Mytilus edulis: one gene and its partners. The main gene of each other region encodes a partner of the protein of the gene in region 2 in a complex. Links are inferred from orthologs where the notes say so. Each region holds a gene or a part of one and is shown on either strand. Other genes may lie near its edges.

The links.
Region 1: the proteins of complex I assembly factor ACAD9, mitochondrial-like (region 2) and evolutionarily conserved signaling intermediate in Toll pathway, mitochondrial-like are in contact, whole or in part, in a cryo-EM structure (PDB 8PHE), measured with the Homo sapiens proteins. The link is inferred for Mytilus edulis from reciprocal best matches to the Homo sapiens genes ACAD9 and ECSIT. Residues at the interface, in NP_054768.2 of Homo sapiens: Leu180, Thr181, Asp188, Ala189, Ala190, Ser191, Ile192, Lys228, Lys239, Asp240, Lys241, Ile242, Phe293, Ala296, Met297, Leu300, Ile431, Met434, Tyr435, Leu438, Thr439, Leu441, Gln442, Gly445, Thr449, Leu516, Gly520, Lys521, Ile523, Met524; in NP_057665.2 of Homo sapiens: Pro321, Glu322, Glu323, Trp324, Asn325, Leu326, Tyr327, Tyr328, Pro329, Met330, Leu332, Asp333, Leu334.
Region 3: complex I assembly factor ACAD9, mitochondrial-like (region 2) and transmembrane protein 186-like share a complex: the UniProt entries of both Homo sapiens proteins name them as parts of the mitochondrial complex. The link is inferred for Mytilus edulis from reciprocal best matches to the Homo sapiens genes ACAD9 and TMEM186.

What each region holds. Positions count from the first base shown.
Region 1 is NC_092352.1:11,360,390-11,371,687, forward strand, and holds the start of evolutionarily conserved signaling intermediate in Toll pathway, mitochondrial-like, read right to left. Parts: upstream 5,605-11,298; 5' UTR 5,525-5,604; intron 1-5,524.
Region 2 is NC_092344.1:87,963,185-87,975,214, forward strand, and holds the start of complex I assembly factor ACAD9, mitochondrial-like, read right to left. Parts: upstream 4,851-12,030; 5' UTR 4,787-4,850; coding exon 4,547-4,786; intron 3,840-4,546; coding exon 3,752-3,839; intron 2,469-3,751; coding exon 2,367-2,468; intron 542-2,366; coding exon 435-541; intron 1-434. UniProt on the Homo sapiens protein: As part of the MCIA complex, primarily participates in the assembly of the mitochondrial complex I and therefore plays a role in oxidative phosphorylation.
Region 3 is NC_092352.1:9,640,912-9,652,025, forward strand, and holds transmembrane protein 186-like, read right to left. Parts: upstream 4,956-11,114; 5' UTR 4,877-4,955; coding exon 4,845-4,876; exon of another isoform or gene 4,785-4,844; intron 4,743-4,784; exon of another isoform or gene 4,652-4,742; intron 3,545-4,651; coding exon 2,854-3,544; 3' UTR 2,783-2,853; downstream 1-2,782. UniProt on the Homo sapiens protein: As part of the MCIA complex, required for efficient assembly of the mitochondrial complex I.

The DNA of each region.
Region 1 (11,298 bases), on a different chromosome or scaffold from region 2:
GAAGAAATATGGCAAATAAATATAACACGTATAATGAATAGAGAAAATGAACTGAAAATAAAATAATTATGTTATACGTTACTGATTAAAGAAACGAGTTATGTACAGAATAAAGAATTCCTCCAATTACAGAAAATTTGAATTGTAAAATTATTTTAATGGGAATTTTACAAAATAAGCGTTATTCTTACAGATAAAGAAAAATGCCCTAAACATTTAAAGAATACAGAAATTTAAGAACCCTATCCATACCATTTTACTTGGCTTCGTCCTTATTTTAATTAAGGGGACGGGCATTTGGTATTCTTGGTTTTTGTGGAATCAGGGGCGTAGCTAGGCAATTTTGATGTGTACGCAATGCCGTAGAAGGAAGTCATACGGCGGTGGGTCTTGGGCTGCTCAAGGCCCCCAGAAGCTCTGGGGGTAAATTGGGCAAAATCCTGCATTCTCACAACTTCCGAGGACTTAAAATGACCTCACAGAAATCTTACTTTTAGGAGAAACAAGTCAACTTTGGAAATAAATAATCAGAGAAAAATAAAGAAACCCGTACTGTTGGCTTAACAATTTGTTTTTTTCCTTATGTGTAGTGTTTTAAAATGGCTTGATAAGGTATATTTTATTTGTTACCTAATCATGCTGAACCCACTTTACATTAGAAAAACTAATTTCTAAGCCAACACTGTGCAACTTAAATGGTATTTTTTTTTTATTGAGAAAATACATAAATAAAAATTCGAATCACATATATCTTTATGTTTTATTTTATGAGTGAACAAGCAGTGTTTTTCAGCTTTTTTATTTCTCTCAAAGTTGATTCTGAAAAATCAATGCCCATTTCCTTTCTTTTTTTCTACTAAAGATGTCCAAAACCGTGTCTGCTTTGATTTTTTTTTCGGTATATGTTCAAAAGACCGAGTCCATATAAACGATTCGTTTTCATTGTATTTTTCAAGTAGGTCTCCACTCTTCTCATCGAGACCGGCATACGACGGACGGATCAACAGAGAGACGGACGGACAGACGGATGCACAGACAAGAAAGCACAATGCCCATCTATTATCGTGGGTAGGGCATAACAAAATCAAATCAATTTTATTTCTTCAACAATATTAAATAAAATTCTAAAAATTTGCTAGTAAGTAAAGGTTAAAAATGGTAGTAAAGGGTGGGGTTTGGATGGTGGATCAGTAATTTTTTTTTATTCAAATTAGGATTACGGAAAACAAAAACTTTAAAACTGAAAGCATGGAAAATACGCACTTTTATTTAAATTTGGGAACATGTAACTTGTTGAACGAAAAAGGCACCCGTCTTTCACAAAAATTAAAAAAAGTGAAAACACGTTGAACGTCAAATGAAAAAAAAAACGATGAGTACAGTTGCACGAAAACTTTACCCTTTACCACCCCCGTTAAACTTAAGTTGGACTAGACTGTTTTTAAACTTATACATACCTCACAGGAAATTCATAAGAATGAATTGATGTCCATGGTCTCTTAAGAATGTCATATTTTATTTCATCAGTTATTTTGGAATCTTCAGAAAAGATGCCAGGGTAAGGAGGCATAGAAGACGTAACAATTGTGTTTTGACACCCGGAGGACTCAGTCATTTTAAATTGTTTGCATCAGCAACATAATTACGATGTTGGTTTCGTAAATGAAAAGGGAAGACTAGTTTTCGGAACGGAATATAGCTACAAACATCATTAACATATTTGTATATTTTTTTTCATTAACTTCATTACTTTAGTTTTATTCTAACTGTATTTACCATATTTTTATTTTTGCTGAATGTTTGATGTGTACGCAACTGCGTTTTTGCGTACGGGTTGCTACGCGCCTGCATATACATTGCATACATTTATAGTATAAAAAGTCAAGTATGATAATAATGTTTAATACAACTTGATAAAATGTGATGAAAAAAAAAATAAACATGATAACATGATCAGTTTTTAATATTTTTGATACAGGTAGGTTGATTTCAATAAATGATCTGTTATTTTGTATTTGAAAGAATTAACATTTGTAATATTTCTTAACGGTATTGGCAAATTATTCCACAAGAATGGTCCAGAATACATAAAAGATTTTTTTGAACAATTCTGTTTTTGGTTTAGGGAGTATGAGGTTTCCTTGAACAGCATTTCTCAAGGGGTATGGATTTCTGTCTGAAACATAATGAAACTTGTTAGTAAGATATGATGGGGCATCATTTTTAATGCACTTAAATGTCATCACTAACTTATGATATTTTATTCTCTGTTCAACTGTCATCCAGTTTAAATGTTTGAATAAGGGTGCAGAAGGAGCGAATGGGTCTAGATTTAGAAATTTTTTAATCTTTAATAGTAGATATAGTCTAGATGATATTTTTGAGCAGATCACATCAATTTGGTTTGTCCATGTGAGGGAAGGGTCAATTTTAATGCCTAAAAGACTTTCACATGTGGAAGATTGTATAACTTGATTGTTAATAGTTAAACAACTCTCATTGTAATGTGGCATTGCTCTTTGCTTCTTTCCAATAATCATATATTTTGTTTTATTTTTATTGATGAACATATTGTTATCATTGCACCATTCCTCTACACCATGTAAATCTTCTTGTACCTTTGACTGTAGAGTTTGATAACAATTACCAGAAAGATGTAAAGTTGAATCATCGGCATATAAATCAGTGCAACAATTTTGCATATAAATAGGAAGGTCGTTTATGTATAATATAAACAGAAGGGGCCTAATATGGAGCCTTGGGGGACACCATACTTGATATAAAGTTTTTCAGAATGAGCATTACCAATTTGTACTTGTTGAGTTCTTTCATTCAAATATGATTTAAAAAAAGAAACAGCAGTATTATCAAATCCATAAATTTCAAGTTTTTTACAGAGCATATCATGATCTACTACATCAAAAGCTTTCTTAAAATCCAACAGGACTGCTAAGTTGATATCACCATCATTCATATCCTGTATCCATTTATCTATGATATTGATAAGGGCAGTTTGGCAAGAGTGTTCTTGTCGAAACCCAGACTGTGCTGGGTGTAAAAGATCTAATCTTTTTAGGTAGTCATACAAATGTTTTGAAACATGCTTTTCTAAAAGTTTTGATAAAACAGGAAGTACAGAAATTGGTCTATAATTTGTTGCCATGAATTTTTCACCAGCTTTAAAAACTGGGGTTACTCTTGCATTCTTTAGAACACTGGGTAATGTACTTGTATCTATTATTCTGTTAAAAATGTAAGTTAAAGATGACGTTATGAAAGGAGCACTCAATTTTAAAAATTTTGGTTCTATGTTATCAAATCCGGTGGATTTATTAATGTCAAGTTTGATCATCTCATTAAATAGACCATTTATTGTGACTGGTGCAATTGAAAATTTTACTTGTTCTGACTTATTAAATTTCTTTTGTACAAATTGATTTAATTTTGCATAATCATGAGTTTTGCTCATACATCTGTCAGTCCTCAGGTTTTCAACACAAGATGTAAAAAACTTATTAAAACATTACAAATGTCACTGACATTATTAGTTTTAACACCATCTTCATTTAAAAGTTCATATGGCTTTTCTTGTTGGGATGGGTTAAGACTTTGAATACATTTCCACAAATCTTTAGAAGCTTTTGAATCTTTTACCATCTTTGAACAAAATTTTCTTTTTGATTCATCGATTATGTGTTTTGTCCTGTTTCGCCAAAATTTGAACTCGGACCACATTCCTAATTTATGGTATTTCTCTCTAATTTTTCCATTATTGAACCATTCAGGTTGTCTGTCTAGGTTTCTGACACAGAATGAATGTAGTCTAAGAACTTAAAACATTTAATTTTAAATTGGACTTTTACCTATTGTGGTCCTTTATCAAAAATCTTAATACGTGGTTTGAGGCACTTGTCGCAGAAAAAAAAATCCTATATATGTAGACTTAGGGGTCGCCCATTTGACATTCTGGGGGGGGGGGGGGGGGCAGGAGGATTTGTTTTTGATCGGTTATTTATTTTTGTAATCTAAGAGGACAAATTATTCATTTTCTGCACTATTGAAGCAAGATTTTTCATTTCCATTAAAGCAAGGGACTCATGATTATTCATTTTCACAACTGTATTTATGATATTCGAAAACATACAATTTTTAAATGATTTGTTTATTATAAACAACATATTTGTGTTTCCTTTAAATTTTTATTTTGACATTTTTTTTGCATGCTGTGTTGATGTGCACGCAACTGCGTGTTGGCGTATAGGGAGCTACGCGCCTGGGAATTGGCTATTTATTTACCACTGTTGGTAGGTATATGCATTTTTTTAAACGGATTTCTTCCCCTAACTCTCCCCCGAAAATAAAATAGTCGTCCACTAAACAGAATTTAATAAAAAGTCGCTTTCGTTTTGACGTTTTTGTTATGTAGACATTACGTAGATAATCATATTATTTTTTTCTCATTTAAAGATTTTAATCATTTACATGCCTACATAAATAAACTACGTCAAACTTATCTTTCTCTTTAAATTCCAACCTCTGTTTTACTCATATGCCAAAAAAATTCTGGTCGATAAAAGTAATTTTCACATGGGAGAAAATGCTTGTGTAATTGTAATCATATTTTGATATTTTAGAAATACCCATCATAAATGTAGTATTGTAGATCGTTGTACCTGATATCTATGAAAAAACACATATTACATTCTAATATTGAATAACTTATGAATATTTTAATATGTATGAAACTGGAACTAGTAAATAAATGTATTAATTAGTCCCAGATAAAAAATAAATACACATATATTTTTTACTTTACTGGCACAGTGAAGCGTTCATCAACACTAAGCTTTCAATAATTTCTTTTTCTTACAATTTTATCTTCAAAATTGAGGTCAACAAGCGTTTGTAATTAATTACGATAGAACTGGAATCAAATTCATGAGGGTCTGGATTGAAGGGGAGGGGCTTTTTTTATGTCTTTATTCTTTGATTTTGAGTTCATTTTTTTCTAATATTTATTATTTATTTTGCATGCCCATTATTCTTTATTCTTTGTAAGTGTGCACCATACACTTGTTTATTAATTTTATTATCATTTTTGCCAATATTCTATATTTTTCATTCATTTTACCCTTTATTCTGCACTTTTTTTTACCATTATTCCCTTTTCTGTAAACCCCATCCAGACTCCTATTCACGCCAAACAGAACCTGAGAACAGAACATAAATTTATGTGCCTTTAACAGAGAAAAATATTTAAATGTTGCCATTTTATTCGTACATTTTATTATTATCAGTTCAACAGTTTAATGATGTCCAATGATAATTGTATACAAATGGTGTTGATTTCAGCTACTTAAAATTTGATAATAAATCCGGTATCGTGACAGTTCACATCATCTTTTGGGTAGATATATATGTCTATTTGTAGGCTATAACGCAGGTGTAAAATATGGTTCTACTTTCACTTCCGGCTCTTAATTGACATAGGTTCTGATTTCACACACGCTGATGGGTACTGTTGAAAATATTTCACCGACTGCTAGCCGGAAAAGGCTCAGTTTTTGTAAATGTGACACAAAGTCCGGAGAGGAACGTGTTAATCCGGAAATTGGTATATAGAGAAGATAAATTTGAATAGAGGACCCAGTAATTATAGGCATAGTCAGACAGTACGTGTGTTTTAGGGTTGCACTAAAGGAAGATTCTTCAAAAATGGTCTGGGTAGATTTATGATACAAGATCCACATCAAAGACCTACCAGATGGAGTATAATCAGATAAATTTGGAAAATTTGTAAAATTCAGCGTAAAAAAACAATGTCAGAAATGGACATTTATCAATTCAATTATATACTGTCAGTCTAGATCACCCTCAGATTTTGGTTGGCTTCATGTTACCAAGACTAGTTCTCTGTGTTGTTATTTGTATACTTTTATATTTAGTAATTTTAATTTTTGCCCTTTGGCTTGACATTTTTATACCGGCAGAGAAAATTCTAAAAAAAACTTGAAAAAATACAAGAGAGTGCATTGAGATTTGTATATGACGACTACTGATCATCCTCTGAAACTCTTCTTGAGACACAAAGGTTCCAACCCTACAAGTAAAACGCATCAGGACAATGGCACTTGAGACTTATAAAAGTTTTAAATAATTTGGCTCACAAAATTTACTCCAAATTAAACACACTAAATATTCTTTTAGATACAGTAATATTTTGGAAATACCACTGGTAAGAACTACTTCATATGGAAAAAAATCTTTTAGTTTTGCTGCTGCTTCTTTATGGAATAGCATACCAGACCATTTCAGGACTGTTAACAGCTTCTCACATTTTTAAAGTCTTGTTCAGACAGTCCTGGAGTGGAACAGAATGTTTTTGCTCTGCCTGTAGATAATTTGTGTTGCTATTTTTATGCTTAACCCTTTTTATGCTGCATTAAGTAATAACAGCTAGCATTGTAACTGAAATTTTGTTTTTACATTTTGTTTGAAAGATTTAAATTTTTTACTTTATAAATCAGTCATAAATATCATAAATTATTTAAAAAATAATTTTTAAACTGCAAATTTTTCAAGATTTAGTGCTTCATATATATGTTTTGGTATTTCGCAAGATACATGTATATGCTATTGCTTAGAGTTAATTTTTGGTGCTGCTTTTTATTATTTATTTTGTATGCTGCATGCCTTGTTTTATTTGTTATTGCATATGTTTTTATATTCCGGGTGAAAAGCTCAATAGAGCTTATGTTTGTACTGTTTGTCAATATGCCGAATCCAAATAAAGTTTTACTTACTTACTTACTTGTATAGTATGCTTTTGTCTTTATTACCGTTTTTTTAGTAGATTAAGTGGGAGGGGCAGATGGGTTCTTAAAATAAACATTGTGGCCTGGTAAGAGCTGGAAAGAAATAACCTCGCTTAAGACAGGAAGAAAAATTAATATTCAATAACATAACATACAGGAAACAATTGGGTACAAAAAATAAAAAGATTTTAGCGCACTTAGCATCTTAAAAGAAATAAGCCTGCGTGGCAACAGGTAACAATGAATAGTAAATCGCAAAAAAATGCTTCAATCGCCCCCTTCCACCAATAAAATAAATCAGAAATAAATCAAAAACAAATCAAAAATAAATCAAAAAGTCGTTTCATAAGTACACCACCTTGTGAAGGAAACACCCTCTTAGACCGTTTTATATAAACCTCTCGTCTCCTAACTAAACACCTAGTGAATGCAACTCCTCTACGACAATTTTACAGAAAGCCATCGTCTCCTAACTACAACACCTTTTGAAGGCAACTCCTCTAAGACCGTTGTATAGAAACCTCTCGTCTCCTAAATTTAACACCTATAATGAATACAACTCATCTACGACAATTTTACAGAAAAACTACAACACCTTTTGAAGGAAACTCCTCTGAGACCGTTTTATAGAATTCTCTCGTTTCTTAATTACAACATAAGTGAAGACCACCGCCCCTACGACCATTTAACAATTCCCCTGGTCTCCTTGTGATGGCAACTCCTCTAAGACCATTTTATAGAAACCTCTTGTCTCCTAACTTCAACACCTAGTGAAGACAACTCCTCAACGGCCATTTTACAGAAACCCCTCGTCTCCTAACTACAACACCTTTTGAAGGCAACTCCTATAATACCATTTCACAGAAATCTCTCGCCTTCTAACTACAACACCTTGTGAAGGCAACTTCTCTGAGACCGTTATACAGAAACTTATCGGTTTCGTAACTACAACACCTTTTAAAGGCCACTACTCTAAGACCATTTTACAGAAATCTCTCATATTTTGTTACCCGACTATTCTAAACCAGTTGTTATATTTCCCCCACTACTTTGACCTCTCTTAATGTGAATATTAGGCAAAGAATCATTGTAGGTACATATCTAGTCGGATTTGTTTCCGAGTCATTGTAAATAAACCAATTTTACAGGCGTTGAGGGACATTGAGTATTTCATGGAGAATTGTGAGAATGCAGCTCTTCTGGGACGATGCATCTGACAGGAAGCCATCATACTTGGTAATGCATGTTATTTGTAGTTGACCATATAATACTGTCATTTTGATCCAACCATTTATATAATTATATCAGAGTTATGGGATTTTTTACCTTTTTTAGTGTTGACTTTTTGTCCTGTGACTTTCTGTTCTACATTCTAATATCGTTATTTCAAACTGAAATCTCTTGAGTATGTCTTTATTTTTCTTAAATATATTAACTATTAAATCATAGGAATCCAGAATAAATAAGGTCCAGAAGAGGTTTTTGTATTTCAAAACTTTGGAGAACTCATTACATTATGACAGTTGTGTAAAGATTAACAAGATTTCTACGCCAGAAAAGAGGAATTGTCCAGGTGCATTATTGTTGATCGATAGTCAAATAAAAATCAAAGTGATGGATATCACTCATGGAAAGATTGGAAGAGTAGTTTGGATAATTTCATATTAAGGTATGGAGGGGACTGAAAGAACATAAATAAAGCACTATTGCTGAAAATTCTTCTAGTAAATGTTACAACTACTCTTATAAGACATAAGCTAAGAACTTTAAAGTGTCAACAAAAATAATCTAAAAATGTTGTTTTGGGGCATTTTGTAAGTTAAAACATAGGTTATATGACATTGAAGATTAAAAGTTGTGCCTTTTGATCAATTCATATTTTTCAGAACGGGGCATTGAAAATGTACTTTTTCAACGTAAACAAATTAAAAAAACTTATTCTAGCGGATTTTTTCTTGATTGCAAAAAGATGTATTCACTTTCTTATAAAAATTCAAATGACTAAAATAAACATAATGATTGATGGGGAATAAACTAATAAAAAATGGTTTGTTATAATCAAAAGTTTTAAAATTTTAAAACTGTTTCAAGCCAATTACTGATATAAAAAAAATAAGTGAACTAACCTAAATTATTGATTAATTGCAGATGAATATTGTAAATTTATCAAGTAAATCATACGCCTTACTTGAATACCTTTTATATATTCATATTTATATTTCATTTTTCTTAAAGATCTTATTAATCCTTAATTAATCATTTATCTTTCAGACACACTTTACAGATTCACCTTTATGTAATGTAGATCAAAAGTAAAAGGCAATAAATAAATCTATCATCCTTATATATCAAACATCTAGTATATACATTAGTGTATTCAATTTTGAGGTCAAATATTTATTGATATTTGTTTATTGGGATGTATATTGAAGCATAGATGTAATAGGGTCGGTATAACTATGTAAGACTTAGGTTGATAAGTAATGTGGTCAATTTGATTGACAGTTTAGGAGGTGGGGCATTGTAATTAAAGGTCCACCTTGTCCCTGAATGGTTGATGATAATGAGTTGTCAATCATCTAGTATTGTATCAATACTCAATATGTTTAAAAATAAAGCCTTTTCATCAAGACACCTTAATGACATACCTTCTTGTATGAACTGCTCCAAAAATATACCCATTTGTTAACAGTTTATATGTATATTATGTGAACATACATGAGAACTATAGGGAACTATATTTCAGTGTGAATACATTTAGTAATAGTAGCTAACCAGTTGTGTTGTTAGAGAGGCCAGTGCCTAAGGAAAGATTTAGAACAAGTTCCAATCTTTCCAACAATGGTACAATTTTGTCCACTACACATGGCAGACAATTCTTTAAAGAGTGAGAGTTCTAGCTCTGTCGAATGATTTCAGAGGAGTTGTGTTCACAAGCTGACACTATTAAAAATACAGTGATTACTTTCAAACTGCAAAGTATGTCAGCTATCCTCACACTAAGTCCTGACTTCTTGCATAAAATTGATTTCTTCAAACCCTTTTCTACTCACAACTGTAGAAATTTTGCTAAAACAAGTGCATCTGAAGACATCAGACAGAAGCAACAATTTCTAACTAAACTATAATTTGTCTTGGTTTTTGGTTACCTGCCAATAGCGCTTACAATGCTTTGATTTCAGTTTATTTTTTGCAGTTCTGACCTTGACCTTTGGCCTCAAATTAAATATGATTATACCCATCTGTATGTCTCCCATCTGAACATGTTTTATTATCAAATTAAATTTGAACACACTCATATAACCAACACCACATTGTCACTGAGAAAACAATAACTGTCCTTTCAAAGTTCAAGGATTCAAAACTCCTACTATAACTACCAGTATTATTATTTTTTTTGTGTGAATATGAAAATTAACATTTTATGACCTTATTAAGTAAAAAAAGTTTCATAAGATTCTGTTATGTTATGTTGTTTTAGAGATATGTGCTAACAAACTATTGAATTTGTATATCATAGTCAAAATTCTAATTCAAAGGGGCATAATTCTTTAGAAAAAGCATTGAATCTCAAATGTGTCATTATGCACACCTACATATAGTATGTACTAATTATCAATAAAGTTTCATACAATTCTGTTATGTGGTTCGAGAGGAGTTGGAATGACAAACTGTTGCAGTTGTATATTTGCCAAAATTCTAAGTTCAAAGGTGGGCATAACCGATAAAACTGATAAAAACAATAGTTGAAATCATAATTTCCTGTCAGTATGGAGATATCTACAAAGTTTCACGAAAGGAGAAGGTTCAATAAGGCACTTAAAGATGAAAATGGACCCCTTTTTCACCTTAAATTTAAATTGTGATTTATTGACCAATATCACAATGAATCATAGGTTATATAGTGACAAGGATAGGAAACAAGCCAAGTACCTGAGTTCAATTCACAAATAGTACTCATGAAAATGTATAACTGTAAAATATAAAGCTTATCTTAATGATTCTTGACTGGGTCATCCATACTTTATCTGATGTACAGAAGTTTTCGTTTGTTTATGTAGTTCATACATATTTCTCGTTTTTATATAGATTAGACCGTTGATTTTCCTGTTTGAATAGTTTTACATTATAATTTTTAGGGCCCTTTATAGCTTGCTGTTCGGTGTGAACCAAGGCTCTGTGTTGAAGTCCGTACCTTGACCTATAATGGTTTACTTTTAAAAGTTGTTACTTGGATGGAGAGTTGTCTCTTACCACGTCTTCCTATATCTATTTATATTATCACCTATGGTCTACCTGGAGACAAAATTTCTCAACCAATAAATTTATTTGTGTTGATGTTTGATATAATTGACTGAGCTTATGGTTTAAGTTATAGTGTGAAGTCTGAGACTGATGGTTCTTGAGTCAATAGATGGGCAACTCTGGAAACTAACAAACTGAAGGGATATGTGGTTTAACCAGAGAGAGGATTTTCAACTGA
Region 2 (12,030 bases):
GTCTGTATAAGTAGACTGGTTAGCTGTTATAAACGATAAGCACTTCCTTCCAGTCTCACAGTCTCCGTATGTACCTTTGCTTGTTCTTAAATTTTGAAAATACTTCTTAATTTTATTATGCATAAAAAGGATGCTTTAGATAAAAAAACATAAGGAAAAAGTAATGGTACATGTACTGTGTTTCCAATTACCATTAATAAAAAAAAACATCAAAAAAGTCAATCTAAAAAACTTATCAAAAACCTTTATATTTTGAAGCTTGAAACAATACATTTCAATATCAAATTATTTTAAATCTATCTGCCTCTTACAAAATAGGGTTGCATACCAAATGATGGAAATGAAGAAATGAAGCAATAGCTCAATACTATACCCCTATCATCATGACCACTTCTGGACTGTGAATATAACTTTCTTCTATAATATTGTCTTACTTTCAGGCCAATCGACTGGTGAGCTGCTAATGTGACTGATATAGAACCATCAAGTGCTGTTATTTCTGCTAGTCTGGCAAATTCTGTAGCATTTAGTCCTAGGCCACCTAAAATGTTTCAAAACTATATGTTTTCTGCAAAATATATGTACAAACATTGAGTTGTTCAATATTACCCACATAGCTCTTAGTCTTTATACTAGAAAACCTTTCATGTGTTTAACAATTTTTCTTGCAAGTGAAGTAACTGATCCTTTTGTTTTCAACATCCTTTGAAACTTTTATCACGTCTTAAAAACCAATATAGCAAAGCATAATAAGATAAATTTTAATCCAATTCACTTGACTATACAGTATACACAGAGAGGACATATTATCATACTCCCAACACTGATTTTGGTGTAACACAGTGTCACACTGTGAAATTCAGATTTCTCTCCCAAAAAAATCCCAGTTATAACTCCCATCTGGGAGGATTTTATGTCTTGTTGATTGCAGGTAAAAGTAATAAAAATCAACAAAGCATGACTATGGTCTGACATTGACAGGTAACTACAGGTCAACTATTCTAATGGCTTATTCTCATTTCGCCTTAGCTGTCAAAATAGTTATATAAAATTAATCCCAGTTTGCCTTGCACAAATTTTCAGGTACACAATAATTAACTAAGGCGAAATGGGAGCATGTGTGGGCGCACTACGTTTGCGCGCATTTGGGGATTAAAATGTTTTACGTTTGCGCAGCTTTTGATTACATTTGCGTGCATTAATTTTACAGGTAATCTCAGGAAAAGATATCAATAAAAATTATACTAAATCATAAATGACTATATTTTTTTTGTATTTTCATAACAGATATGTCTATCAATTATTAATTTTGAAAAAAGTTTGTTAATTCAAATTATATATTGCTCATATTGATTTCTAAAACCAAGTATAAACTCCGTTATAGCTTAAGGTCAAGTTACAATAAATGGGCTATGTCACAGATTTTCTTAAAATTTTGCATACACCTTTGACTTGTTGAATTGTATCGCAAAAAATATGCGGCTTTATCTCTTTTCTTCCCTACTTTATGAGACTTATACTAATGGAAGGGGTACTGATACTTGTAAATAATTGAACAAATTAATAAATATATGAGTATTATTACATTTTGTACCTGTATTTTCTCTAAAAATTTACTGATTGATTTTTTTCAAAATAGGTGCTTTAGGAGACTCAGACTAACGGAAGGGTAACTGATACTTGTAAATAATTGAACAAATTAATAAATAAACAAGTATTATGACCTGTAGTTTACCTGTCAAAAAAATGTGTGCAAATGTAATCAAAAGCTGCGTGCAAAAATGATTTTTGTGCGCGAATGTATTGGCAATGCCCGCAAATGTAATGGTAATGCGTGCAAACGTACTGCACCGGCATGTGTAAGCAATTTAATTAATTGTTTTGTTTGTATTGCAATTAGTTGATATTTGTTATTTTGATGTCAATTCTACCATCAAATATTTTTTTCTATTTTTGGTGTCCCATTTTTTAAATAATTCTTTTTTATAGTTGCTCTTCTTTTTCTGAAATTGTATTTTTTTTTTTACTTATGTGTTATATTTTGTAAATAAAGTCTTATTAGAGATGAAAAATTGGATATGGATATTTCATATTTTAATGAATAAATAAAGACAAATATCATACTACATGTATCATAACAAATATTTTATTTCTGAATCAGCACTAAATTCAAAGCACAATTTTACATTTGCGTACCAATAGAGATCAATAGAGAAAATGTACATGTTATTAATAATACATGTAGCATACGCTTTGTGTTGAAGACTGTAATTTAACCTATGATGGTTCATATTAATACTTTTACAAATCGTTGTCTCATTGGCACTCATAACACATGTTCTTATATCTAAATAAAGGTTACTTACCATATTCTTCAGGAATTTGTTGACCAAATAACCCTAAATCTTTTAACTGCTGTAAAACATCATCAGGAATTTTAGCTTTTTCATCTATTGTCTTTGAATCAACTACAACAAAGTTGAAAACTTTTCTATCAGTCAGCCAGGGAAATTATACAAGTCATCTTCATTTGCTTGAAAGTGTTAGTAATATTTACTTGTATAGAAAATTTTGGAAGACTTGGATTTAATTTTCAAAGTTTGATCTTTTCCCAAAATTTACTTCCACAAGTACTATTTTTACAACCCCCTTAACATTGTTAAATTTTTAAGTTTTGGGAGGTCAAAACATGCATAGAAAGAGCAGTATGTTGACAGGAAAAATAAACTAACTTTCTTTCTTTTTTATTAGATAGAGACATTTAATTTTTTTAAATATCATGACTACAATTTATTATTATTATCTATCTTATGAACCTCAAAGACTAAAATAAGATAGAACCAGGTGCTCATCAGGGCACAGCTTTATACGAATGCAGAAGTCGATCCCTGAACAGTTGGGGCAAGTATGGACACAACATTCAAGCTTGATACAGCTCTGAATTTGGATTGCGATCAAATTTTTGACATAATATGAGTTTCTGACACAAAACAAATGTCAAGATCTTACAAATCTATTGCGCAATATTGTGCAATTAAAGATTTCTTCTTTTAACTTTTCAAAAATTTGGAATTTTAGAAATTTGAAAAAAAAATTAAAAACAACTACCAGCCCCCTTTTTTTGCAATTAGTCCAAGACCTGACATTTCTTAATACATAATATACAAGTAGTGTAAGGGAGGTAAACCAGAACATACATGTACCCAATATTGTATGTTAAATGTTTTAGAATTACCTCCCTTACACTGCTTTTAAATTGTCTTAATTGTCCATTGAACAGAAATACCTATTTTTTCCCCTTTTTTTGCCCCTAAATCCGAAACATTTTGAGCCATAACCCCTCAAAGTCAATACTAACCATCTCTTCATGGTATGGTAACTTGTGGTTTAATTTCAGAGAGATTCATACACTTAAACATAAGTTATTGTTTGAAAACTACAAAAAATATTATTTTGGGCCCTCTTTTTGGCCCCTAATTCCTAAACTATTGGGACCATAACCCCCAAGATCAATCACAACCTTCCTTTAGTGGTATTTAATTTTCTTGTAAAAATTTAAAGAGATCCATACACTTAAACACAAGTTATTGTCTGTAAACTAGAAAAATGCTTCTTTTTGTCCCTTTTTTGGCCCCTTATTCCTACATATTCGGGAAAACTAACCTCAAACTAAATCTCAGTTTTTTTTGTATTTTTGCGGTTGTATAATTATGGACCAAGGATATTAAACTTGTACAGAATGAATAACTACCTTCATCAAAAAATCTTTCTATAGGCTGCACCAATTGGTTTATATCATCTAACTGTTCTTTCGTAAGTTCAGGGTATATCAGAGCATCCTGAAAATGTCAAAGCATCTACATTGTACATACGAATACTTTGTTTTTGTCTGTGTCACTTAAAATTTATAATTTTACAGGAAATGGTGTTTGAATTTCTGTACAAAATATTTACACTTTATCTGTTAATGTTGACCATGTTGACAACCTTCCCAATAGTTGCTGATTGAACACAGTTATTTTGTAGCACATTTCTTTTAGGCAATAACACGCAATAAATTAAAATCAACAAAATCGCTAGTCCATGGTAAAAATCTCATCAGAATTGTGATTACCCCACAGGTCTAGTGAACATCTGAAATCATCATATTTTCATATTAAAATGTTTAGGATTTTATGTCTTTACATACACATTACACATTATTGCTATTCCAGGCTGACCCAAGAATCTGTCTCGCTTGAACTACTGACGTCATACAACAATCACTTTACCATTGAGGCGTCAGATAAATTCTATTTCTGATGTCAAAATTTCACGGAAACCTGTGTGATATCCAGTAACAGCTCAGAGTAATGGCCGACAATAGCGATTAGGTTCATTGTATGTAGATGTATTATTATTATTGTGGGCAAAAAGCTGTATAGTGCTTATGTAACCTCCACTTATATTTTATAATAACATTTTCTCTTCTATTTGATTGGAAATAGCAGTATTTGGAAGATCATGTAAAGTTGTTGCATCGGCTAATACTTTTTTTCATAATTACCTTATCAAAATTTCCAAGAAATAAATTTTTAACAAATGGATCATTCGTTTTAGGTTTTAATGCTTTCTGGATATACTCTCCACTTTGACTAGTTTGAGTTATTTCTTTATCGTCTAGATCTGCTTTCTGAATAGAACCGCTACTAGCTTTTCTACGTTGTAACCTTACAATGTGCTTGTTAGAAGAAAACAGTTTATCCTTTGAAAAATACCGTAGAGTATAACTTGTTCTCGACCACATATTTCTTAGTTTCAATTTCTATTTTTATACTGGTTCCTCTGTGTATTCAAACCAACCCGGGAACCAGACGAAAGGGTTTGAATAACGGATAGAAATAAACTATATTTATACCAGGATATTAACTTTTATCCTTGATTACGATACTTATTTTTAGTATTAATCACATAATTTATTGATCTAAAATTTAGAATTTTTTTTTGTAGTATCATATTCATAAATAGAATTTTAATAGACAATCTGATAGAGCTTCTATCTTTTACTCAAGCTTTGTGAAAGATATTTTACTTCCTTGTTCAAAATCTGTAGGACAGATAAGGTGTTACTTCAATGTATGTAATATAAACCTTTCATTTTAGATAATGTCTGTATGATATAGATCTTCCTTTATTTCGGAATGCTGTTTTCAGTGATCTTATAATTATAAAACTACAACCCAATAGGCATAAAAGGCAATATATAAATTATTTCTATTTAAAATCCCAAATTATACATAATTTTGTTCATATACAATGTATTAAATATACAAGCTCACATTTACAAAAAATAAAAATAAACTAAAAAAATCTGGAGCAACACATTTTCTCAATGATAATGCTGGATCACAGCCTTTTATCTACAAGGACTCCCTTATAACAAGCAGTTCATAACTTCATTAACATGATCAAGACTCAATATTGTCTTTGTAACGGATCACATCAAAGACATCAAATAAGGCGATAAGTCGAGTATGCGGTCTATATAAGTATCTTTATTCTTCAAAACTACATTGTGTACATATAATTTTGGCTTCATATACTATATCATAACAACCGATTCTCTACAATAAAATACAAATACACGTAAGTTAAAATATAACTTAAAACACTAAAGGCATAATACTAATCAAACAATATGATTCACTTTCTTTCACGCTTCATAAGTAACTTGTTGAATTAAAAAGTTAATTAGAATAAATATTAATTTATAAATACTTTTACAATTCTTAATATTTCTTCTTCAAATAAATATTGTTCTTAAAAATGTACATAAATTATCTCTTACTGATTATGATCTCTCTATAAAATAATGATGTGTCTCCGAATATCAAATAACTTGCAATGAATAAAAAACTAGACAACGTAACGTACGTCAAAAGCGAAACGTCATAAAACTTAAAAACGGGAAATATTATAATGTTCATGAGCAAAACGTTACATATGCGCAAATACCCAAAAATAGTATCTACAAGTATTATAAATAAAATAAATAAATTCAGTAATAATAAATGAAGTAACCCAACAATTTGGAATTACATTTCAAATCTAACAGTCTTGTGAGACTATCAGTTATCTTGTTTGACCCCTAATTTTGCATTTCTTAAGTATATTATACTAAGTTTACTTAGCTTTATGCTAAGTTACAGTAAATGGGCTATGCCACAGATTTTGGTTTGGATCATTGAAAAAAAATTGTGTTTGTAAATTAATTTAGTACATGTAGTAGTTGAACGTAAAATAACAGTTATCACCAAACATTTACCTAAAAGACCAAAAGTATTTAACAAATCAGGACGACATAAAATTATTAAAATATCCTTAGGAAACCATATTTTAGAATGTGTACAGAACTAGTATTAGTACATATACTTGAGAATATTTTTTTTTAGCATCTGGGAACTTTCAAAAGGCAAAGAATAGAACATAATAATAAAAGAATGACAGCTTATTGCAAATTAAGGAAGACCTTTTCAGTGGAAAGCCCAAAATCTATTACTTCATTACATATTTATAACCATTATAATCAGACCTATCTTGTTGTATGGATATGAAATTTGGGGTTATATACCACATAAGAAACAAAAATATATGGATAACTTCATATCAAAAGAAACTGATTATCTTGTTCTAGAGAAAATTCATACTAAGTTTTGTAAGTTTTCTTGGAAGTAATTTAAAAACATCAAATATGGCATGTAGAGTTGAACTAGATTAAGGTAGCACAATACAAAGATTTTTCATCCCCAATCAGACATCTTTAAACTGATGTAATTCCACTCATCTTTCTTTAAATTTTATAAATAAGGTACCAAAAAAAAGAAGAAAGATTAATCTTTCAAATTGTGATAATTTCATTATGACATAATTATTACATAATTAATTGTTATGTAATTAGTTGCCATTCTGTGATGTCCATACTTGAATGAATTTAGCTTCTTTGTTCTTCATAGCATCCTAAATTTTTTTTATAGATTCTTGCACAACACAGTTTGACCTCCAAAACTGTGTCTCAGATTTTTCCTATTGTATTTCATTCTCTCATAAATCTTCAATGAAGTTTGCAACATCAATTCATTAGAGACCACTAAGTTCAATTGGGTATAAAATTTGTTCTATTGATGTTTTTGGAAATCTGAGACACAGTTTTGGAGGTCAAGCTGTGTTGTACAAGAATCTATAAAATATTTTGGGATGCTATGAAAAACAAAGACGCTAAATTCATTCAAGTGTGGACATCACAATATAGCGACTAATTACATAATAATTAATTATGTAATGATTATGTCATAATGAAATTATCACAATTTGAAAGATTAATCTTTCTTCTTTCTTTTGGTACCTCATTTATAAAATATAAAGAAGGATGAAATGAATTACATCAGTTTAAAGTTGTCTGATTGGGAGTGAAAAAATCTTTATATTGTGCTACCTTAACTCCCTACACTTTATTATGTAATTATCAGTATGATAAAATATTGGAATCATCGTATGAAAGAATTGAACCTTCAAATATTATCCTATATGGGAGGCCATAAATTTATCCCATTCTGTGAACAAACCTAACCAGGAATCTTGGATAGGAAACATCAAACATATATTAAATTCTAAGATCATGTAGATTTAGACTTTTCTTTTGTTAACAAGTTTGAAGTACCGTTAAACTTTACAAAAAAACAATATTTAAAAAAGAGTTTAAAAATTCTCTTAAACAATAAAATTTTAAAGAAATTTGGATGCCAATATACAGTAGGGCAATAGATTAAGAACTTAAAGACATTTTTATGTCCCATTTATGGGCATTATGTTTTCTGGTCAGTGCGTCCGTCCGTCTGTTTGTCCGTCCGTTAGTCCCGCTTCAGGTAAAAGTTTTTGGTCGCGGTAGTTTTTGATGAAGTTGAAGTCCAATCAACTTGAAACTTAGTACACATGTTCCCTATGATATGATCTTTCTAATTTTAATGCCAAATCAGAGATTTCCCCCCATTTTCACGGTCCACGTAACATAGAAAATGATAGTGAGGATGGGGCATCCGTGTACTGGGGACACATTCTTGTTTAAATATATTTTATTTTTGAATTTTTATGAGGTAATCATGTGACCTTATGATATAACCATATTGGAGGTTTAGCATTGGGTAAAGGGTGTTTTAATAATCTAAGAAGTATAATAAGCCAAATATCAAGACTACATGACAACCATGAAATACTATTTTAAGACTTGATATTTAGGTATATCATAAGCCAAACATCAAGACTAAATGACTACAATGTACTTCTTAGATTATTAAAACATTGAAATCGGCTGTAATTCAATGAAATAGTTTTGGTTGCTGTTTTCGATTAGTCATTCAGTAACCTCCGTTTCATGTACAAGTTTATATTGACGGAAAGGCCCAACTTCGCTAGTACAGGAATTAGTTCCATTATGACAGCTATAACATGAGTAGCAGGACAAGTCGCCAACTAAACTGTGAAATTTGTCGCCTCTATCAGCAATAAATCGCTAAAAGCTAAAAAGATTTATAAAATAGCCAAATTTAATCTGTGTGGATTCTATGTTCCGAGTCAGTCAACATGCACCATTTTTTTTTTCGACAGCCTTCAATATCTTGCTCCAAATTTCACCACCCGATTTGTTTAATTATCAGGAGCATTTCATTGAAACTAATTAAGCACATGTAACGGTGGTAATAAGCGTTTTTTCAGATTATTTGACGTTTTGATACGTTTGGAAAAAATGACTACCGTTTTGCAATGTTTCGTAGCATTTTATTCCTTTAAGACCCACACATGTAGTTAATAAAGAAAAGAATCTAGGCATTTTGTACTTTCTGTGTATCTAACTTTTGTTTTGATAATTATAAATTACTTATTGAAATATAAAGTAAACCAGGTGCTCCGCAGGGCGCAGCTTTATACGACCGCAGAGGTCGATCCCTGAACAGTTGGGGCAGGTATGGACAAAACATTTATGCGTGATACAGCTCTGAATTTGGATTTTGATCAAATTTTTGACGACGCAGGACGACGACGCCAACGTGATAGCAATATACGACCAAAAAATTAAAATTTTTGCGGTCGTATAAAAACCAACATTAATTGCTTTGACAAATGAAATATTAACTTGGACAAAATGACTACCGCTTGAAAAACAACTCTAAAGAGAAGCCTTTATAGAATCTACTTTTTTAGCTCACCTGGCCGAAAGGCCAAGTGAGCTTTTCTCATCACTTGGCGTCCGGCGTCCGGCGTCGTCGTCCGTCGTCGTCCTGCGTTAACTTTTACAAAAATCTTCTCCTCTGAAACTACTGGGCCAAATTTAACCAAACTTGGCCATAATCCTCATTGGGGTATCTAGTTTAAAAAATGTGTCCGGTGACCCGGCCAATCAACCAAGATGGCCGCCATGGCTAAAAATAGAACATAGGGGTAAAATGCAGTTTTTGGCTTATATCTCAAAAACCAAAGCATTTAGAGCAAATCTGACATGGGGGTAAAATTGTTCATCAGGTCAAGATCTATCTGCCCTGAAATTTTCAGATGAATCTGACATTCCGTTGTTGGGTTGCTGCCCCTGAAATGGTAATTTTAAGGAAATTTTGCTGTTTTTGGTTATTATCTTGAATATTATTATAGATAGAGATATACTTTAGGAGTTATTGCCCTTTATAGTCAATTTTTAACCATTTTTCGTAAATCTTAGTAATCTTTTAGAAAAATCTTCTCTGAAACTACTGGGCCAAATTTAACCAAACTTGGCCATAATCATCATTGGGGTATGTAGTTTAAAAAATGTGTCCGGTGACCCGGCCAACCAACCAAGATGGCCGCCATGGCTAAAAATAGAACATAGGGGTAAAATGCAGTTTTTGGCTTATAACTCAAAAACCAAAGCATTTAGAGCAAATCTGTCGGGGTAAAATTGTTCATCAGGTCAAGATCTATCTGCCCTGAAATTTTCAGATGAATCGGACATTCCGTTGTTGGGTTGCTGCCCCTGAAATGGTAATTTTAAGGAAATTTTGCTGTTTTTGGTTATTACCTTGAATATTATTATAGATAGAGATAAACTGTAAACAGCAATAATGTTCAGCAAAGTAAGATCTACAAATAAGTCAACATGACCAAAATGGTCAGTTGACCACTTTAGGAGTTATTGCCCTTTATAGTCAATTTTTAACCATTTTTCGTAAATCTTAGTAATCTTTTAGAAAAATCTTCTCCTCTGAAACTACTTGGCCAAATTTAACCAAACTTAGCCATAATCATCATTGGGGTATCTAGTTTAAAAAAATGTGTCCGGTAACTCGGCCAACAAACCAAGATGGCCGCCATGGCTAAAAATAGAACATGAGGGTAAAATGCAGTTTTTGGCTTATAACTCAAAAACCAAAGCATTAAGAGCAAATCTGACAGGAAGTAAAATTGTTGATCAGGTCACGATCTATCTGCCCTGGAATTTTCAGATGAATTGGATAATTGGTTGTTAGGTTGCTGCCCCTGAATTGGTAATTTTGAGGAAATTTTACTGTTTTTTTTGTTATTATCTTGAATATTATTATAGATAGAGATAAACTGTAAACAACAATAATGTACAGCAAAGTAAGAACTAAGAGTAAGTCAGTATGACCAAAATAGTCAATTGACCCCCTAAGGAGTTATTGCCCTTCATAGTCAATTTTTAACAATTTTCTTAAAATTTGAAGATTTTCAATAACATTTTCCACAGAAAGTACTGTTATAGATAGAGATAATTGTAAGCAGCAAGAAAAGTTTAGTAAAGTAAGATCTACAAACACATCACCATCACCAAAACACAATTTTGTCATGAATCCATCTGTGTCCATTGTTTAATATTCACATAGACCAAGGTGAGCGACACAGGCTCTTTAGAGCCTCTAGTTTTAACTCATGAACAATGAGGCAAATATTTGTTCTTTTGATAGTTGTTTATAATACCTTACTTTTTTTCAGACACTCTATGCTATATCTTCTTATAAAATTAATTATTGGTCGTTGAGTCAATGAAAAACGTCGGACATTTTTCTTATTCTAGCTTAATATTCAGCCCCCGAGTCAAAAATAAATTTGACAACATAACAGCTTTAATGTCACAAAGAACCAACATATGTCGTTGTTCACACAAAGTTTCTGGAAGATATGTAAATGAGAAACAGTATCACTATACGTAAGAGTTAAAACAGTAGTTAAAAAAATGTAACTTTGGACATCCGTTTTATCGCATATCTTTGTTGTTTTAATCCTCAGGTATTCTAGATATTACTTAAGCATATGAACAAGAGCTATAAAAACGTAATTGAAAACATATACTGAACTTTTTTTTATAGTGGTTAGTGTTTGCTAACATTTTATTTTGTCTTGCGAAGGAAAATTTAGAATATTCTTCTTAGATCTAAGAATAAATTCAGATCGTGGTGAGGTCACGGTATGAGCAGCATGAAAATGTAAATTTTCGTTGCTTTCATGATTCTACTACGTCCTCATTACGCTTCTACAACAATCCCGCTATGATTATGCCACATTCTCACTACGCTTATCAAGATCTTTCTGAGCTCATCACGTTCTCACTACGACCATACCACGAGTTATCCGATTGCAACACAATCTCACCACGCTTCTACTGCGATTAAAGCACGTTCTTTCCACGATTATATCGTACGTTCATATGGCGATCTTACTACGTTCTCAGAAAAAATACAGTCATGTCACCAAGATCTACTAGAACACGTGGTCGTGGTGGTAGGGGTTGATGTAGCGGCAGAGGGAGCTCTGATAATAAAGAATACTGATCAAGCAGAGATGTCGGACCGAATAATCCAACCTAAATTACAACCTATTGCTGGTCCATAAAGGTCAAATGACGATATTTTAGTGAATGATAGCAGAGATGACACAGATGTGTCAATAGATATAGGAAGATGTGGTATGAGTGCCAATGAGACAACTCTCCATCCAAGCAGAGACTTT
Region 3 (11,114 bases), on a different chromosome or scaffold from region 2:
AAATTGGGGTAAAAAAATCTAATTTGATATTCAAATTTGAAAGATTATATCATAGGGAACATGTGTACTAAGTTTTAAGTGGATTGGACTTTCATCAAAAACTACCTTGACCAAAAACTTTAACCTGAAACTCGCACTATCATTTTCTATGTTCAGTGGAGTCAAAAATCTAATTTGGCAATAAAATTGAAAAATCATATCAAAGGGAACAAATGTACTAAGTTTCAAATTGATTGGACTTCAACTTCATCAAAAACTACCTGGACCAAAAACTTTAACCTGAAGCGGGACAGACGGACGGACAAACACACAGACACACAGACCAGAAAACATAATGTCCCTCTACTTTCATAGAGGGGGCATGACAAAAATCTTCTTAGGGTTTTTATGAAATGAAATGAAAGGACACTGTTTGGCAGCCACTGCCTGCCGTACATCCCCAAATCAACAAATTAATTTTACTTCGAAAATCTGGTTAAAATTCACATCCTTGATATTTAAGAACATGTACAGCTATTAGATTCGTGTGCCTTGCAATATTTTCTTGACGAGTATAACATCAGTTTGTGACTTGAATATCTGGAAATGTTCTTGGATTGGATGTATAGATTGTTATAATCAATGCACTATATTTTTTTCTATCTCAAAGTCAGTGAATGATCAACTTTTTAGATTTAGATATCAAGTCAGTGCCTTTCATTTCCATGCAATCTTTACCCAAAAGACTAATAATGCACGCATTGCTAGATATATAAAACATGAAGATATCTAGAAGACATTTTCTCTGTAGTCATTCCAGATATTTTAAATGTGATTGCTAGATTAATTGACAGGTTGTTTACTTTATGTCCAGTGGCAAATGTTTCATTGATGTTTAGGTTGTCCACCTCAACTCACTCTTTCTATGGAAATGCATTTTCATTTCATTTCCATGCTCTTACTTAATTCAATACTGAGTGACCACTGTCCTTTTTAGACCATGATGTTGGCATTTCACATGGCAATGATCATTACAAATTTTATGACAAACTGTTCTACTTTTTTTCTCTTCTGGTTAACTTTCCTTTCCTTGATGGTAATGTTCGATTGGCTGCTTCTTTTTTGCTGTACATTTTCAAATTGAAAGATATGTGTAATTTTGCACAGATGTCTCAGGTTTCAATGGATGCAATATTTTTATAACTGAAACTTGTTCCAATGCAGAAATAATTACTACAAATTGAACCAAATTTTTACTGTTATATGTGAAAAAAATAATCACAATACCTTTTTTTGTTGCTTACAGTTTCCATTTATCCATTATAATTTTAAAGATATTAGGCAAAAACACTTAAATCTGTCAACAATCGTTATTTAAAGGCAATAACTCCTTGCTGATGAGTGATCTAATCATATAAATAATATTGACACTTTTGAAGATCTTGTTTTGATGATCACTTTTGCCTTTACATGTTATAGTTTCTACTCATCTAATTAAGTTGTCAGATGATATTTTTGGTAGAAACAGTAAGTACATGATGTAGGTTGATCTCTGATAAATTTTGTCCTTTTATATTTGCTTGTTCTCTTATGGTTTGAAGATTCAAGAAAATGGATTTTATCCTAATGTTCTATGTTTAATTGATTGTTAAAAATAGATGTTTGTTGACAGACAGGCAGATACCACAAATTATATATCTAAGGATCATCCCCCCCCCCCCCCCCTAATTTTGTTGGAATTGGTTCAGTTCAGTTCTTTCAGCCAGCATGTTCAGCAGAGAAGTTCTTTGAAAAAGTCATGACGGACACAAAAAATAGTCCAAAATATGTTAAGAAGTCATCCAATGGTTTCTATTATTTGGCACTTTTTGTATTGCTTATAATTTTTGACCTTATCAGTTTTTACCCAAGTCCAACAAATATTCATTTTGGGGCCTCTTATAGCTGACTATGCAATATTGGATTTGCTCATTGTTGAAGGCTGTACAATGACCTATAGTTATTAGTTTCTGTGTTATTTGGTCTCTTTGTGGAGAGTTGTCACATTGGCATTCACACCACATTTTCTTTTTTTTTTATAAAGTTTTAAAATAATAGGCTAAAACATGAAAATTAACTAAAAACTGTCATTTAAGGGAAATAACTCCCACACAAATAATTTTGGTGAAAATTGTGAGGAGGAAGATCTTGGCATTCTGAACAATTTTGATTTTTCATATTTTCTCTACCTTTTAGTTGTGACAGTTTTCAAGATAAAAGACCATGAATACATTTTAACTCTTGTTCTTTTTTAAGTCTGGTGTACATGCTTGTTTATTGACCAGAATAAAACACAAATTTTATACAAGATACATACCCTAAGGATCGCGACAGATCACTCATCCCAAGTTTTGTTAAAAGTGGTTCTGTAGTTTCAGAGAAAAAGTTCTTTGAAAAGTATGGAGACGACAGAAATAAACAACAGACGCAAAATGATGGCAATGACCTACATGGCCTTATCATCAGTCATATTTAATAACTCATTTTTTTTGTCAGATTACTTATAAAAGCTAATTGTTCTAAAGATTTTTTTAATTCATAAAAAGAATAAAATTAGGTTTAAGTCCTTCTCTTTTTTTTTATCATTGAATAATAATCTTTAATCAGAATGCTGAAAAATACATGCTTATAAGACATTCTCTTAAATATTTTAAAAGACATTTATCTTTCTTCCGATATCAACAAGTCCTTAAATCATGTACATGATATAATCACAGATCATTGATACATCTTCACCTTTCTACCTCTATATCTAAATATAAACTTAAAATTATGTCATCTTTTATTCTGAATTATTTGTCACTAAAATATTGAACATAAAAGTGATACATTTATTTATATCAAGTTTCCAAAAATTTCTTCAAACTTTTCTCTATCTACAACTTTGCCTCTATTCACAAAAAGATAAAACTTCTGATCATTTGAAAAAAATGTTATTAATTTATAAATGTCACTTTTCACATCTTCTCCACTGTCTGAGAAAGGAACAATCTCCTCTCGTTTGAAAATTTGATCCTCACGTTTGCCCCAGAAATTCAAATGTGAAATCATTACTTTTGTCATATCCTCATTTACACCAATAATACCTGTGATGTTTTGTATATACATACTGATATAATACAAAGAAACTGTGGCAGATATTGAAAGTCCAACACATGCAGCAATAACATTAAAATCAGCTAGTTGAGAATGAAACATAAATAATGAGTATGGAACCAAGGCAAATGTAAATCCAGTCTGGTATATCTTTAACATTGACAAAATTTTTGCCACTTTAATTGGTTTAAAGAAATAAATGGTTTTATATTTCCTCTTTGCAATATTTGGATCAAACTCTGGCTTTTTTTTCTTGAAAGGATCAAATGTCTCTGGGTATTCTGAAGATGGATAACAGCGACTAGGGAAGTAAGTCAATCTGTTTAATTTGTTTGTAAACAAAACTTTTCCACTGTTTCTTTTTAAACAAGGTGAACTCATACATCTTTTGATCACAGCATTTCTCCATTGTTTCGTGAGGACCGCACTCCTGTAAAAAAAAATATAATTGTTTTAAATGATATTGAATTAAATGATCGAAATAAGCTGTAAAATAATGTATAAACCACTTGGTAACTTTTTTAAATTTTTGGTTCATTTATATAATTCAAAGTTTTTTTAGTGTGATGTCCATTTTAGCTGAACTAGTACACCTTATTGTTTAGGAGCCAGCTGAAGCACTTCTCCAGGTGCAGGTTTTCTTGGCTGTGTTAAAGACCAATAGATAGCCTTGATCTGTTACACCTTATTTTTTAGGAGCCAGGTGAACCACTACTCCAGGTGCAGGTTTTTCTTGCCTGTGTTAAAGACCAATAGATAGCCTTGATCTGTCTTCTGCTCTTTGGTCTGTTGGTTTTCTCTTTAACACATTCCCTGTTTCCATTCTCAGTTCTGTTTCGTTTTCTCTTGGAAATTATAGGTCTTCCTTGCATTTTGTATAAATGTAGGGTTTTGTATATATGCAGGAATAAGAATCAATATATTAAAGGCAACTCTGATCTTGCTTCTTAAAATGTTACATATACCCGGTATGAAAGGGGCAATACCTTTTTATACCTTTTTATGTTAACCTGTCATGGCCTTTTTCAAGGTGTTGTTAACTTTTATCTGAGATAAATTTAAACTGATGACTGTTTTAATTTCAACCCTATGTGTTAACTGTTAATATCAGCATTTTTTAATATGTTGTTAACTGTTGTTGCTAAAATCGAGGTGTTGTTAACATGTTAATTGACCTCCTATTGTAAATACACGGTCTGGGGTAAAATATGTTAAAGTTGACACAGAAAATACGCAACGTTAAAACCCCTCCGGTTACAATTTTCATGTTGTAACAGTTGATATGCATGTTATTTTTTTATGTGAACTTTTGTACACAAAGGTTTCCTCTATTTTGTGTTGCAAATATTTATTTTCATTTTTATTCAATTCTGTCCCCTCCCCTACCCCCACCCTTCCCCTTCTACAAAAACTTGGTCTCATCTCAATCTCAATATGATTATAATTGTTTTGTTGTTAAGTTATATTATTTACACGTTACTCTTTTGGTTGGAAAACGGACAATTTATTTGTGGAAATATAATACACGGGAAATTGTCGGTCATATTCCGATGCAAGCACGGTGTTTATATCTGTAGCATAGGCTAATAGGGTTTATCTTTGTGAATTTCTACACACGGCTCATTGAGGTAGGAACAATGTGTTAGTGATTAGGCCTAGTTTGTTTAGATATGTTATTAGATTTTCGATACTTAATGAAAAGTTTTCACGATAAATAACATATATCATACCTAGCAAAGGTGCCAGAACTCCACACGTTCATCTTTGGTAATTGATGGGAGACAATCTACGATTTAAAAGAAAATTTATTTGAAACAGGTAAGAGTTAATTCCCTTCGTTCATTCAATACAAGATAATATTACTTCACATTCGTTCGATTGGTTCCTACAGAATTGAGAATATTGGCCATAAAATAAAAAATAAGGAAACATTATTGAATAAAGTAGTCACAGAGAATAATTGGGTGCAAAAGTATAAAGAAAACAATGGGAATTAAATAATTGGGTAATACAATACCGGCAAATCAAACCAAATATTTTATTGTCGTATACATTTTAGTGTGTGACCAACATGTATTAACACAATAAACATATTAAATCAGAAAATCATTTTTTGATATCAGAAACTAAGTAATAAATAGTAAAACGGCACCTCATAGATATACAAACATATCAAACATACACAATAGAAACAAAATCAAAATTTATAAAAGCAAACAATACTGATTACACACAAAATGAACGATTGATAAATTTATTAATAATTATATATATACATTATTTGCTAAACAAACAAAAAACAATTTTAGTAAATAAGTTATAGCATATACATAGACAAAACAAACATAAGAAAAACTCAACAAATATAATATGCATGTTAAAACCAGTTATTGGTCTCCATGCTCAGTTCTCATGATGACGCTTTAAAAAAAAACTGTGTTTATATCATTTGGTTTTGATGGATTTAGTATAATTGTAAGCCAAAAAAGTGTCCCATGAAATTGTGTCCTCTAGAACATTATTTCACAGTTCAGCCGTGAAATTTTGTTCAAGGGACAAAATATCACATTTGTAAACCATAAAATAGTGTCTCCCTTAGTGAAAAATTGTCCCTAGTACTTGCACATAATTTCATGGATGTTATATAAAAATATGTCACAAAGGACAATATTTCATAGTGTAGCTATTTTTTTCTGTCCCTATTGAAGGGAAATAATTTAGAAATCATTGAAATGTTTTAATCAATTAGTTTTAAAATAATAGTTGAAATTTAAATAAAGACAACACAGATGTGAACAAAAATGGAAAGTGATAAATATAAACAGCTGTATAATTATGTGTGTGATGGTCAATACCCTCCAGAATTTGAAAATAATGATAGATCATTTAAAAGGAAGGCAAAGCAGTTTCACATTAAAAACAATGAAATGTATTATATCAATGTTGACAAAAAACAAAAACACAAGAGCAAACATTAAAACTTGATATTCAATCATAATTGCAATCAAGCATTTATGAATATTATTCCTGACATTTTTGATTTTGTTAAAAAGGATAATTCAAAGATGTTAAAACAATTCATAGATTCCTATTGCTTATTTAAATACAAATGTCAATTTAGTCTTATTATTTTTTGTTAAATAAATTTTTTGGTATAAGACAGGACTTTTATGCAATATGGACATGATTTTACTATGAAAAAATGTCCAACGAAGGTCACAATAGAATCTCTTGCCAAGGGACACTTTTACATAGAGGTGGACAATATTTTATAATAAAATTATGTCCTGGACCAAATTTCATAGATCATGTCTGTGAAATTTTGTTCATGGGACATAATTTTATGGGGGACACTATATAATCCTACATAATCACGAGTTTATCAGTTAAGTTTTGTAATGCATTATATGTCTCTGGTTAAGTTAAAATTAACATATTTTTCGGTATAATATTTAAGAAAGATTTCTCTTTTATTTTTATTAAATCAGTTTACAAGTATAAAAATATGGAATACGTCATTTAATACATTACATATTATTTTACATTTTCTTTCGTTTGTTGGTATTATTATTTTTTTGCATATCGCGGCCAGTTTCTATTAAAAGACAAGATTGCTTATTCTAAATTTGGTTAACATTTTTCGATTGTCATATGACAAAAAAAAAAATTCGCGCGGATATTGTTGATCATTGTTATTAAATGAAACATGGCAACATTTATGGAACAAGAACTCACCGTAAACGGTCATTGCTACTGCTACTCAATGACCATGGCGTGACTCTCAATACATACTGAGAGATTTGCAGTGAACAAATAAACATGCTTTTTACAGTCGATACGCAAATTGTTTATAAATCTATGACATTGATCCACCTGAACGATGACGTTTATGAAGACAAATTAAAAAGATAAATTCGAAATTGAAAAAAAATAGTTATGTTGCATCATCCGCCAGTGATGCGACAGTTCACAGGATCAGAAGGAACAGACATGTATACTGCTTTTTATTTGTTGCTTAGATAGAACCTGAACCATTTTGATAATTTATAGTGTCACATTAAGAACAACAAATTAAGGTCTGTAAATGGGGATGATTTATATTTTAGACTGGGGAACAAATGTCTTGTTTTAGTTTTAATTATGTCTTGAAAGGGGTTTAAGTTTGAGTTCAGTGACCGCAAGTACTTTCCGATTGAAATAAACATATCTTTTTAAAAGTTGCAACACATCGAATATATCAAATTAAACAGGAATTTCTGTTTACAGTTTTCCTACTAAATGTACTATTGAAATATAAAACCATGCTAAAATATGATATAGTAAGACTTTAAGAGTTAACTCGGGCGAAAACAAAAACAGAAAAAAAACAACCGTCCAAGTTATGGTCGATGGCATGCTTTTGGAGATAACCAGCCCCGTAGTCAGTACTTTTGTGTCTTTGTGGAATATCATTGATGTGTTCATTTTCTGTAAACTAACTGTTAATAAGATATCTAATTATTCGAACGGTTTTCGCTTTTTGTTGCTTTTAAACTTCATAGTTGATTTGGCCAACCAATTGTTTCAATTATAGCGCCACTGATGATTCTTGTGTATAGACGAAGCGCGCGTCTGGTGTAACATATATTGTCTGGTGGCTGCTCTTATGTGGTTTTAGGCTAGACTTTACAATGTTTTACACCAAGACAGAATGCATCTTTAATATCTTTTTTTTTTTTATCATTTGAAAGATTTTTTTTATTTTGCGGTCAATAAGATAAGAATTTTTTTTTGTTTTTGTTTAAGATAAGAATTTTATTAATCTAATCAAGAACCCGTAAAGAGCATCATTTTACAACACAATATGATTGGAAAAAGCAAAACAGAAAACTAATACATACTGTAACGTTATGGACAGGATCAGAGCCTAACACAACATGTGTTTTATATAACTATTATATTAAATCTTATAACAATAAAATACTAAATTATTTCATATATTTTGTTTACATCTGGATCTTATTTCTAAACCTTTAATAATGTAATTTCCTAGGCACATGAGAGTTGGTAAATGCTCATTTGTGAACAGCCAGAAATATTTCTTATCATTAGGTAGTTCTTTAAAATTAGTACAAAAAGTGATAACTTTATCAAATAATAATTTCCTCTGTTCATCATATAATGGACAATTTACTGTAAAATGGGTCTCATCTTCAATAGAATTTGATCCATGTGATAAGCAGTGATGAAATAGACGTTGAGTTATCTCTATGTATTTTTTACTATATCTATCTTTCTCAATTTTCAGATCATGAGCACTTATTCTCATTTTACATATAGCTCTTCTTATACTAAAATCTTTAATTGATAAAAAAGCCTCCTTTACAAAGTCAGTCTTGAGGTTGAAATAATTCTCTAATTTACTATTACCTTGTGATAAGGTTTCAGATCTTTTGACCAACCAAAATGTTTTAAAACTATTACAAAGTTTACATTTTACAAATTTAATTAATTTATTGAGCTTTGTATCTAAATTTTGTATATCAAGTGATTGAAGTACATATTTCATAGATGAATACCAACAATTAATGTTTTCTGCATCTAAAATTTTATTACAAACATAAGCATCATAAAGTAACCCTTTGTCCAACTTGTTAAGCCTGTGTACATATTTTACCATGGATATAATGACAGAAAAATAAAGAGGAAATCTTGCAACCTCTGATAACACTGCTAAATTTGAGGCTTTCTTATTTACACCAAGAATATACTTTAAATATCTGAAATGTGATTTTTCCAAATAATCATTTATGTAGATTAATTCAAATAGATAATCACTTTTTTCTTGCAAGCAGCAGAGTTAATTTTAAATGAACCCCAAATTATACTACAATATAATAAAATTGGTTTTATTGTGTGATCATATAAATGAATTGCAGTATCAATACTTGGATTACAAGCTGACATGGATTTTTGTGATTTAAATTTTGCCTTTAAGGATTTTTTGAATAGCTCTTCTTTCCCCTGTTGAAAAAGACCACTAGAAGTAAAGAATATCCCTTAATATTTACATTTATTAACACATTCTATAGCCTCTTTATCTAAATAAAATGATTCCTTTACAAATTTTCCAGGCTTGTTTTAAAAAAATTAAAACTTTTGTTTTGGACAAGTTTACATCTAGACACCAGTCAATACAATAAGTATGCAATATATCAAGTCGGTTTTGAAGACCTTTTTTTGTGTTTGATAATACAATAATGTCATCAGCGTACATAAGACAATCAATTCTACGCCCATTGATATCAACAGCATCTGGACTTGGCTCAAATTTTGGAGGCAGATCGAACATCCCCTTGTCTTACCCCAACTAGTGAACTGAAAGATGGTGTCATTACATTGCCCACTTTCACAGACATTTCATTCTTGCTGTACATATCTGTAACCTTACATATTTGGTAAGGTTACACACCTACTTAAAATATTAATTTATTTAGGTTGAGATACTAGATTTATAAATTGCTTTTTTTAATATTTAAGTCAATGTCCTTTATAAAAATCTAGGAACATGTAAGTGTCATGGATATAAATGGTCATATATCATCAGGGTTCTCAAGGGCAACATCCACTCATATAGTCATGTACTTTGTTTAATTAACTCAATAAATGTACTATTACCAGTCATCACGAAACATGGTCCTAATAATATCTAAAAATTAGAATGAAAAACTGAACTTAATTTAACGTTAATAGTATTGCTATAATATTGAACAGATGTATCATGTTAATTAACCAGTCGAGAGAATGTAAAATTTCACGAGCCGTAATGTCATACCCCGGCGGCGTTAAAAAATGAACGATATTCATTTGATTAAAGATCATTACAGTAAATTGGTGAAAAATACAATGGCTATCAACCCGTCAAAACCCAGGATTCTTACATAAGGTGTAATTAAGAAGATAACTTGGTATGTTGGAAGAATTGCTTATATGCTGATAAAGGAGAAATACTGAAAACTTTAATAAACATTTAACCGTATTTACCAAAGATAGTCTTCAGTTTCTCACACTAACTGGAATGACACCTGGTACATGGATTTTGTAATGTTTTAATAATTGACAGTAATTTATATACATAGTGTCTAAATGTCTTTGACCATTTTTACATCAGAGGCCCCTGAGGGGCCTCGGGTGTATTGCCATCGCCTACTTTTCAAAGATCTTCAAAGATCAAAGAGATGCGTATATAATTAGTGTTGGGATAATAACCGACATTATGAACCCGCGAACATTATAGTGCAGAATAAAATTCCTTGTCTCTTCTTTTATATTCATGTTTTCAATGGATACTCAGATTTTTTTAAATGCAAATTAATAACATGAAAATGTTTTGTCGTTAGAAATATTCGTATATCAATCAAACGATCTTCAATATCAATGATATACCGAAATATTATTGTCGCGGATGAATACCACCTATGCATATTCATCAAGTGAGCAAGAGCGAGAAGATAAACGAGAGAAAATCAATTCACGCAATTACACACAGAAAGGTAATTATATTTCAATTATTTGATTTAGAGTAACATCTTTAAACCGTTTGTAGCATATTTGTCTATAATATTAACGAAGCAAAATCAGGAATATTTAATCTGACACAATATTAAAATAATTTGTCAGGCCGCGTCCCCCGCAGCCATTTTGAAAATACCAGCAGATTGGGTAGGAGTAACAAGAACCTGCAAGGCCTTTAAAGATAAGGTTACTTTCATTGTATTCTTTAATGGAATCAGTTTTTTTTTCAAAGATCTCAACAATTTTTGAAGTTAAATTTCTTTTCTTCGTAAATAACAAGTAGATTGATCACTTGGACACGCACGTGCACGTGGAACTATTTTCTGTTTTTTTAATTAAGGTGCTGTTTCGGATTTTCGCTCCTTCTCCGACTTAGTTACTTGCATTAGTATATTTGAATAATTATGTCCCTTGACTAGTAAAAAAGCGGATTTTGTTAATGAATT